Linked DNA regions of Macaca mulatta. The protein of the gene in region 2 interacts with the protein of the main gene of each other region in a biochemical or structural test. Links are inferred from orthologs where the notes say so. Each region holds a gene or a part of one and is shown on either strand. Other genes may lie near its edges.

The links. The genes of interacting proteins can lie anywhere in the genome.
Region 1: the proteins of IRF4 (region 2) and SPI1 are reported together in a solved structure, tested with the Homo sapiens proteins (2 studies listed by BioGRID, with this or other methods). The link is inferred for Macaca mulatta from reciprocal best matches to the Homo sapiens genes IRF4 and SPI1.
Region 3: the proteins of IRF4 (region 2) and STAT6 form a complex in vitro, tested with the Homo sapiens proteins (2 studies listed by BioGRID). The link is inferred for Macaca mulatta from reciprocal best matches to the Homo sapiens genes IRF4 and STAT6.

The regions. Positions count from the first base shown.
Region 1 is NC_133419.1:18,241,016-18,244,669, reverse strand, and holds part of SPI1 (transcription factor PU.1), read right to left. Parts: coding exon 3,615-3,654; intron 2,789-3,614; coding exon 2,626-2,788; intron 1-2,625. UniProt on the Homo sapiens protein: Pioneer transcription factor, which controls hematopoietic cell fate by decompacting stem cell heterochromatin and allowing other transcription factors to enter otherwise inaccessible genomic sites.
Region 2 is NC_133409.1:182,855,381-182,857,712, forward strand, and holds the end of IRF4 (interferon regulatory factor 4), read right to left. Parts: intron 889-2,332; coding exon 745-888; 3' UTR 644-744; downstream 1-643. UniProt on the Homo sapiens protein: Transcriptional activator. Binds to the interferon-stimulated response element (ISRE) of the MHC class I promoter. Binds the immunoglobulin lambda light chain enhancer, together with PU.1.
Region 3 is NC_133416.1:64,257,842-64,261,495, forward strand, and holds part of STAT6 (signal transducer and activator of transcription 6), read right to left. Parts: intron 3,534-3,654; coding exon 3,446-3,533; intron 3,300-3,445; coding exon 3,177-3,299; intron 1,641-3,176; coding exon 1,548-1,640; intron 1,216-1,547; coding exon 1,009-1,215; intron 1-1,008. UniProt on the Homo sapiens protein: Carries out a dual function: signal transduction and activation of transcription. Involved in IL4/interleukin-4- and IL3/interleukin-3-mediated signaling.

The DNA.
Region 1 (3,654 bases), on a different chromosome or scaffold from region 2:
CACACATATGCACACAAACACACCCATTCACTAACATGCCCACACACTGGCACCCACATGACACACCCACTCGCACGCTTGCAGCCACCTGCATGCTCAAACCCACACACTACATCTGCTTACACATTCACAACCCATTCACACCCCACTCACACCCACTCATGCTCACACCTCATTCACACCCACTCACATGCACACAAACACATGCAATGCACCCACTCACATGCACACACACTCAGACCTACTCACACCCCCAGATGCACGGTCACACCCACACAATGCATCTTCTCACACTTATACACATGCCCAGTCACACCCACTCACACATACACCTCACACCAGGTCTCACACACTCATGTGCTCACACGCCTGCTCATACACCTCACACCAGGTCTCATAATCACACCTGTTTATATATGCTTGCACAAACACACACCTGCTTACACATCTCACATTGCTCACCCTCACACCTCACATTGCTAACCCTCACACACACAAGCCTCTGCTCAGCACACGCATGCTTACATACCTCACACCATTCACACACACACCTACCCACTCACACATGGTCACACCTGCCCACACCTGCTCACACACATATTTGCACACACAGACCTCACACACATCACATTACTCACCCACACACATGCCCCTGCTCACACACTTATGCTCACACACACCTCACACCATTCACTCACACACACCCACTCACACTTGCTCACATGCTCACCTGTTCATACAACTCACACTCATACCTCACACTACGTCTCTCACACACACATGCTCACACGCTCATGCTCACAGACATGCTCACACCTCATACATGCTCACACCTCACACACACCCACTCATGCTTACACGTCACACATTCACACCCACTCACATGCTCACACCTCACACATAATCACACCTCACACACATGGTCACATCTCTCAATCACACCCACTCACACACCAGCCCACACATACCCACACACACATGCTCACACCTTATATGCCCACACCTCACACATTCCTGCTCACAGGCTTGCTCACACCTCACAGTTGCTCACACATGCACTCACAATGCTCACACCAGCTCATTCACACCTCATTGACACCTGCTCACTCATATTTCACACCACTTACTTGCACCTCACTCACACCTGCTCACGCATGCACACACATTGTACTCATACACACCCACTTGCATGCTTACACACCTGTTCACACACAACCAGACACCCACTTGCACACTCATGCTCACACACATTCTGCTCTCACACCCACTCAGCAGCTCACACACCTGCTCACAAGCTCACATGTCACATCTGCTCACACCCATTCTCTTGTTTTTGAGACTGAGTTTTGCTCTTATTGCCTAGGCTGGAGTGCAATGGCATGATTTTGGCTCACTGCAACCTCCGCCTCCCGGGTTCAAGCAATTCTCCTGTCTCAGCCTCCCAAGTAGCTGGGATTACAGGCATTCACCACCACGCCCAGCTAATGTTCGTTTTTTTTAGTAGAGACGGGGTTTCGCCATGTTGGCCAGGCTGGTCTCAAACACCTGACTTCAGGTGATCCGCCTGCCTCAGCCTCCCAAAGTGCTGGGATTACAGGCATGAGCCACCATGCCCAGCCCACTCACACCCATTCTCACACACTCATTCATATATCTTCTGTCTCACACACACACGTTCGCACACCTACTCACATGCACACCCACTCACACACCCAGGTGCTCAAGCATGCCCTCACCCCCCACATACACCTGCTCACGCACAAGAACACACACATGCTCACACATGCTAAAACACATATCCACTCACGTACATGCACAAACCTGCTCACATATACAGATACATACTCACACACCCCAGCTCACACCTTCCTGCTCACACACACCTGCTTACATACACCCTCAAACATGTTCACATCCACTCACACATCCACTGACACCTACACACACACGCCCATTCACACACTCACTTATATCACACACATCCCTGCTTATATACACATTCACACACACACTTGCTCACACACCTGTCATACCCCCACTCACACATATCACTCACGCCTGCTCACACCCACTCACATATACCATGCTCACATCCCTGCTCACACACGCATACCCACACAATGCTGACACCCACTGACATGATCATACATGCACACCTCACACACGTGCACACAACCACTCACACACACTGAAATACATTCATATGTTGATACACACAAACATGGCCACACCCACTCTCATCCACACCAGCTCTCACATTCACCTTCTCACACACCCACTCAGCCACTTGCACACATGCACCTGCCTACATCTGTTCACACACACACTCACTCTGCACACTTGCTCACACACACCCAGATCTACACACACTCATGGCACAGAGACATACACACCTGGCACACTTCATGGAGATGCCTGTATGCACTCACAGCAGATACACACACACACACACACATAGAGACGGCCACAGACAGCCCCACAAAACACATACATTGGCAAACATGCACACACACACACACACACGCAACTCGGCGGCATGGCTGCTGGGTCAGTTGGCCTGGCTGGGTGGGGGAGGGCACAGACACAGCCAGGGTTGGGGCCAGGGTGGAGGGCCAGATGCCCCACCTGTCTCCCCAGGCAGGAGCCCAGGCCCAGGCTCCAGGCCGTCCGCCTCGCCGTCAGACACCTCCAGTGGGGGGCTCTGCCGCTCGCCCTCCTCCTCATCTGAGCTGGGCTGGGCTGGGGACAGGGGTGGGTACTGGAGGCACATCCGGGGCAGGTAGGAGACCTGGACGGTGGGGGAAGGAGATCAGAGTCAGGAAGGGCCAGCTTACAGCTCAGAGGGGCTGGGAGGGAGGTTAGCTGGGGAGAGAAGGAGTGCAGAAGGCAGGGGACAATGGCAGGCACAGGAGACTGGAGGAAGGCCAGGGAAAAGTGGGGCCAGTTGAGGCGCTGCACATAGGGTGCAGGCTGTGGGGCCAGGGGTGCTGACATCCAGCCCACCCAGCCCTCCCAGCTGGGCCTCCTGGTTTAGGGCTGTGGGCACCGGGGAAGCGGTGGCTTGCTCCCCTCCCTGCTGAGGTGTTATGTGGGCCCACAGTGGGCTGGTGCTGGGGGCTGGTGCATTGGGTCTGGAAGGGGGTTTGATAGGTGGGGTGATGAGTGGTGGAGGGACCCTGGAGGCCAGTAGGGGTGGTAGAGGTCAGCAGAGGTCACTGATTCAGATTAGGGTCAGTAGGGAGGGTCACTGGGGAGAGGCAGGGTCAGTAGACATGTTCAGTGACTTGGTGTGGGATCCATGAGGGCAAGTGAATGGGGGTGGAAGACAGTGAGGCCCACGAGGGTTCACAACAAGGCGTTGGGGTGGGGAGGCTCGGTGAGGTGCAAGAATTATCTGGGGTCTGTCCATACTCGGGGTGAGATGAGATAAGGGGTGTGGGGTCACGAGGTCACTCGGGGGGTCAGGCAGCAGCCGTTGGGGCTCCAGCCGCCGTTGGCGCTGTGGGGCAGGAAGCCGAGTTGGGTAAGAGCCTGTGTCAGCTTCCTGTGAAGCTCCCGGGCCCCACCACAGGCCTGGCAGTCTCCTGGGGGACGGGGCAGGCGGTGGCACGCACCTGGTGGCCAAGACTGGGATGGGGTGGCACCATGGGGGTG
Region 2 (2,332 bases):
CCTCCCCCAGGCTACAGGCACAACTTCAGTCAAAGATTCCATTTCCTTCACTCCGCAAGTGTCCTCCACAAGAACTGCAGCTCCTACATACATTAATACATTTCTTCTATGTGTGAGGCTTCTTCCGTTTACACCTTACTTCCCTGAGAAATGGTACAGACTCGCCTGCAGTCATCGCTCCAGTCAGTGTCAACACTGAAAGGCAAGTGTTCTCAGTCCTCCAGCAAGACCTAGTCTACATCAAATTAAAGAACACATTTCAGCAAATGTAAACACATCACGGGGTCAGTTTTCACAGTGATCATCAATGATGGCAGTCTACAGAGCGCAAGAAGTGCAAAGCCACCTTCCTTTCGGAATAAGCTCATCTGCCAATCAGATGTCACTGATTTTCCACAGTTGTCTGGCGGCAATTCTCCTCAGCTACTGCACTGAAATCTTCACTTCTGAGTTCCTCAAAACAGCAAGAGGGCAGTCAACTGGATGCTTTCACTAAAGTCAAATATTTACAATGAAAATCGTCTGTGTTGGGTGGGTGCAGTGGCTCACACCTTAATCCCAGCTACCAGGGAGGCTGAGGCAGGAGAGTCTCTTGAACCTGGGAGGCGGAGGTCGCAGTGAGCTGAGATCGTGTCACTGCACTCCGGCCTGGGAGACAGTGCAAGACCCTGTATCAAAAAAATAAAATAAAAAATAAAAATAGAAAAAAAAAAGGAAAAAGAAAACCACTCATCTTGACATTTTTCATTCTTGAATGGAGGAATGGCGGATAGATCTGTGGTAATCTTCTGGATTGCTGATGTGTTCCGGTAAATCGTAGCCCCTCAGGAAATGTCCACTGTTTTGTTGAGCAAAATAATATAATTGTCTGGCGAGCAGAGGTTCTACCTTTAATAAGAGATTTTTAAAAAGACATTACTGAGATATCCCGCAACTGGCTCACTATTAAACAGCACTCAGATTCTAAGCAGACAGTAATGTAAAGCCCAAAGTTACGTCCTAGAACACATCAAAACATTTCATATATGGAGCCATCTAAAGAAGCAATTTTTTTGTTAGTCCTTCCATAGATCAACATGTAAAAAAACAGCCAAAGCTACTTAATTCTGGGTTAAAGATGTTACTTTTAAATCAGCTGCCACTTAAAATGTACATTTAACTAAAACTGAATCAAATCAAGTAAAGTGATTAAATGAAAAGGAAGTCTGAGGTAATCTGCAGGGTAATTTAGGCCAATGATTTTGTTTTTCCACAACTGCAGTTTGAAAGAAACAAGGGCTCATCCTGAATGATTTGATTTCTAGGTAATCGGTATCGTTCTAAACCAGAGGTAAAAGAAATAAAAAGTAAAGTTAAACAACAACAAAACTACTCTTGTGGAAAAAGAGAAGTTAACTGGCCTCAAATTTATCCCGTCTGGTTATTAGCATGAATCACGCTCACCAAAAAACAAAAACACCTTAACGTTCAGCTTTTCCTGAATTTACAGCATCTAAGGCAAGCTGAATGCTCTCCATCAATCACGATATTAAAGTCTATATTTTATATATAGCGACTTAAGCAAAACTCCTGAGTACCTGAAATGAATTAAATTAATAACTTGTAAAAGTGGAACTCATAGGTGTACATGTGTGTTTATTCATTTTACGGATCACACAGCCTCGTCTTCAGGATGACGGGATCATCTGGGGATCCATCTTTCCCTGACTTAGAGGACGGCAACTTCATCCAAGTCACCCTTAAAATTGGATTGATGTATAGCTGAGCTGATCATCAATTTCTTTTGTTTTCTTTTTTTTTTTTTTTCTTGAGACAGAGCCTCACTCTGTCGCCCAGGCTGGAGTGCAGTGGTGCGATCTCGGCTCACTGCAACCTCTGACTCCTGGGTTCAAGTGATTCTCTTGCTTCAGCCTCCTGAGTAGCTGGGATTACAGGTGCGCACCACCACACCTGGCTAATTTTTGTATTTTTAGTAGAGGGGGGGTTTCACCATGTTGGTCAGGCTGGTCTCAAATTCCTGACCGCGTGATCCGCCCACGTCGGCCTCCCAAAGTGCTGGGATTACAGGCGTAAGCCACCGCACCTGGCCGATCATCAACTTCTTAAATGCTGCTTATCTATGCCAAGTTTATTTAGTCATTTAGCAATTCCTGCTGTTAACAACATATCAGTCATGATTTCAACAATCATAGCAATTGTTAAGTCAATCACTGGAGAGAACTCATGAGAAATCCTCAGTCTATGGGATTACACATTGGTTGGTGGGTTGGTCTTTGTTTTTAAAATCAAGAAGGGGGGTTGTATGTTCAAGATTAAACCATGTTTCATTTCA
Region 3 (3,654 bases), on a different chromosome or scaffold from region 2:
GACAGGGTTTCACCATGTTGGCCAGGATGGTCTTGATCTCTTGGCCTTGTGATTCGCCCTCCTCAGCCTCCCAAAGTGCTGGGATTACAGGTGTGAGCCAGCCTGGGCCTTTTTTTTTTGATATGGAGTCTTGCCCAGGCTGGGGTGCAATGGTGCGATCTTCCCTGCAGTCTCCACCTCCTGGGTTCATCTCCTGCCTCAGCCTCCCGAGTAGCTGGATTACAGACGCAAACAACCATGCCTGGCTAATTTTTTGCGTTTTTAGTAGAGACGGGGTTTTGCCATGTTGGCCAGGCTGGTCTCGAACTCCTGACCTCAGGTGATCCACCCGTCTCGGCCTCCCAAAGTACTGGGATTACAGGCATGAGCCACCATGCCTGGCCCCCCTTTTTTTTTTTTTTTTGAAACAGTCTTGCGCTGTCACCCAGGCTTGAGTGCAGCGGTGTGATCTCAGCTCACTGCAACCTCCGCCTCCCGGGTTCAAGTGATTCTCCTGCCTCAGCCTCCCATGTAGCTGGGATTACAGGCATGTGCCACCACAACTGGCTAATTTTTGTATTTTTAGTAGAGATGGAGTTTCACCATGTTGGCCAGGATGGTCTCGAACTCCTGGCCTCAGGTGATCCGCCCACCCCGGCATCTCAAAGACTGAGATTACAGGCATGAGCCACTGTGCCCAGCCAGGAACAATTTTTCCAATGGGTCAAAGTCACTTTGAATCAGAGCTCTGTTTACACACAACCTGGGTGAGTCATGCAAGTCGCTGGTAAAGAGAAAGGACAGATGACCCCCAGACCAAAACCACAGGGATGTCAGAGAATGCATCTCTGGAGCCAACCCCCAGACCTGGGGTTTTTCCTCCCTGGTCCATGACAGGCCTTCCTAAAGGACCTGAGAGGGCACTGTGGAGACTCCAGCGGAAGGTCCCTGCGTGGAGGCTGAGCAGGCCCTGAGTGCCTGAGGCATGAAGAGCTTGGGGGTGGGAGGTCCAAAGGGCAGGAGAATGACCTTGTTGAACTGTGACCAGGACACAGAACGGTGCTGGAAGGCCTCCATGCTGAGGCTGTTGTCATTGAAGATCTTCTGGGCCAGGAAGAGGAAGTGCTCTGGGAGCAGCCCCCGGTTGGTCCCCACCTCAGCCATGAACTTCAAGTTCAGAGTTTCACACATCTTCTCCCAGGGCACCCGCTCAGCCACCACAAAGGGCACGCGGTCCTGAGGAGAAGGGGGAAGAAGAGAGCATCAGAGGCTACCGTCTTGTTCTTCCTCAGGCCGGCCTTCATCCCTCCCACCTGCCTATGGCCTGCCCATCCACAGCACCTGATATCGCTCACGAACATGCTGTTTTTTCTAGGTTACAGTGCTGTGGCCTGATAGTTGTTAAGACTGGGGTGAAAAGAGGTCAGAAGTACGAAAGTAGGCCCATGAGAAGGTGTTAAGGTCACACCCATTTAAACATGCCTGCCACCCCATCAACAGGCCTGCACCACTGCCCATATTAGAACCCACCCTGCCCCTGTTCCCTCCAACTCCAGGAATTTCCTCACCATCTCAGAGAAGGCATTGTCCCACAGGATGGTGGCTTTGGCATTGTTGTCTTGGTTGCCATGGACGATGACCACCAGGGGCAGAGACAGGGCCTGAAGAGGGTGAGGACAGGGGTTTCTTTTCTTTCTTTCTTTCTTTCTTTCTTTCCTTTTTTTTTTTTTTTTTAAGATAGTATCTCACTCTGTTGCCCAGGCTGGACTGCAGTAGCACAATCTCAGCTCACCGCAGCCTCAGCCTCCAGGGCTCAAGTGATCCTTCCACCTCGGCCTCCTGAATAGCTGGACCTACAGGTATGGACCACCTAATCCAGCTAAGTTTTTATTTTTTATAGAGATTGGATCTCCCTATGTAGCCCAGGCTGGTCTTAAACTTGCAGGTTCAAGCAATCCTCCTACCTTGGCCTCCCAAAGTGCTAAGAATTTTTTTTTTTTGAGACAGAGTCTTGCTCTGTCACCCAGGCTGAAGTGAAGAGGCGTGATCTCAGCTCACTGCAACCTCTGCCTCCCGGGTTCAAGCGATTCTCCTACCTCAGCCTCCTGAGCAGCTGGGACTACAGGCCTGCACCACCACACCCAGCTAATTTATTTATTTATTTATTTATTTATTTTGAGACGGAGTCTCACTCTCACCCAGGCTGGAGTGCAGTGGCGCGATCTCGGCTCACTGCAAGCTCTGCCTCCTGGGTTCACGCCATTCTCCTGCCTCAGCCTCCCAAGTAGCTGGGACCACAGGTGCCCACCACCACGCCCAGCTAATTTTTTGTATTTTTAGTAGATATGGGGTTTCACCGTGTTAGCCAGGATGGTCTTGATCTCCTGACCTTGTGATCTGCCCACCTTGGCCTCCCAAAGTGCTGGGATTACAGGCGTGAGCCACTGCGCCCGGCCAATTTTTTTATTTTTAGTAGAGACGGGGTTTCACCATATTGGCCAGGCTGGTCTTGAACTCCTGACCTCCGGAGCTACCAAAGTGCTGGGGCTACAGGCCTCCCAAAGTGCTGGGGCTACAGGCGTGAGCCACCACGCCCAGCTGGACAGGGGTTTCTTAATAAAGCAAGAAGTTTCCTCAGGGGGCTGGCTCTGAGCACTCAGAGAAGTTACTGGACTCACACATCATAATCAAAAAGTTCATGCCATGTTATTAAAAGTTTTCTGAAGCTCAGTTAGGGCCTCACTCTAGAGAAGTGGTTATGAGTCACTGCTATGGAGCCAGACCTCCAGGTTTCAAATACCAGCTCCAACACTTAGCTGTGTGACTGGGACAAACTACTTAAACTGTGTCTCAATGTCCTTATCTATAAAATGAGGCTGATAATACTGCCTACCTCATAATGTTACTGTGAAAACCAAACGTGTGTGTGCTGGCACACATGTGTGTGTGTATCATTTAATAGAGAGACCTGGTCTATAGGAAGTGCTTCCTAAGTGTTTGCTGCTATCCGCTACCATTCCCTGCCCCGTGCGCTCCATGTTCTTGCTTCACCCCACTCACCCGGGCCCCAGTGTGCATGAATCCCAGACACATGGGGTATGGGGCAGTCACAGGAGGTGAGGGTCCAGGGACCCTGTGTGTGGCATTAGAGAAGGACTCGGGGTCCCAGATTGGGGTAGGGCTGGGCCACAGTTCACCTGGAGCTGGATGGGGAGTTTGCCGGGGCCAAGTGTGAAGCTGGCAGAGAAGAGCACAGCGCACTTCTCCTCTGTGACAGACTCAGTGCCCTTCCGCTCACACCGCTTGATCTTCTTGAGAAGCTGTGGGTGGGGTGAGGGAGAGCAAGGGCGAGTGCATGAGGACAGAGACCGCTCCTCTTGGGCTTCCCGACATCCTCTCCAAGGAGAGTCCCATAGTCTCCTAGTGGTGCCCCCCTCACTGCCCACTGCACCCCAAAGCCCCTCACCAGGTTCTTGAACAGGGCAGAGCAGCAGTTCCCAGGAATGCTGTTCTCCAAGGGCACAGTGTTGTTGATGATTTCTCCAGTGCTTTCTCTGCCAGGGGAGGTCAGAGTGTGAACAAGCTCATCTCACTGTGGCCAGCTGTGGCGACGCGCTTGAGTGCATGAGTGAGTGTAGACTACCCATTGTCGCCAGCCCTAAATCTCCACGTCTC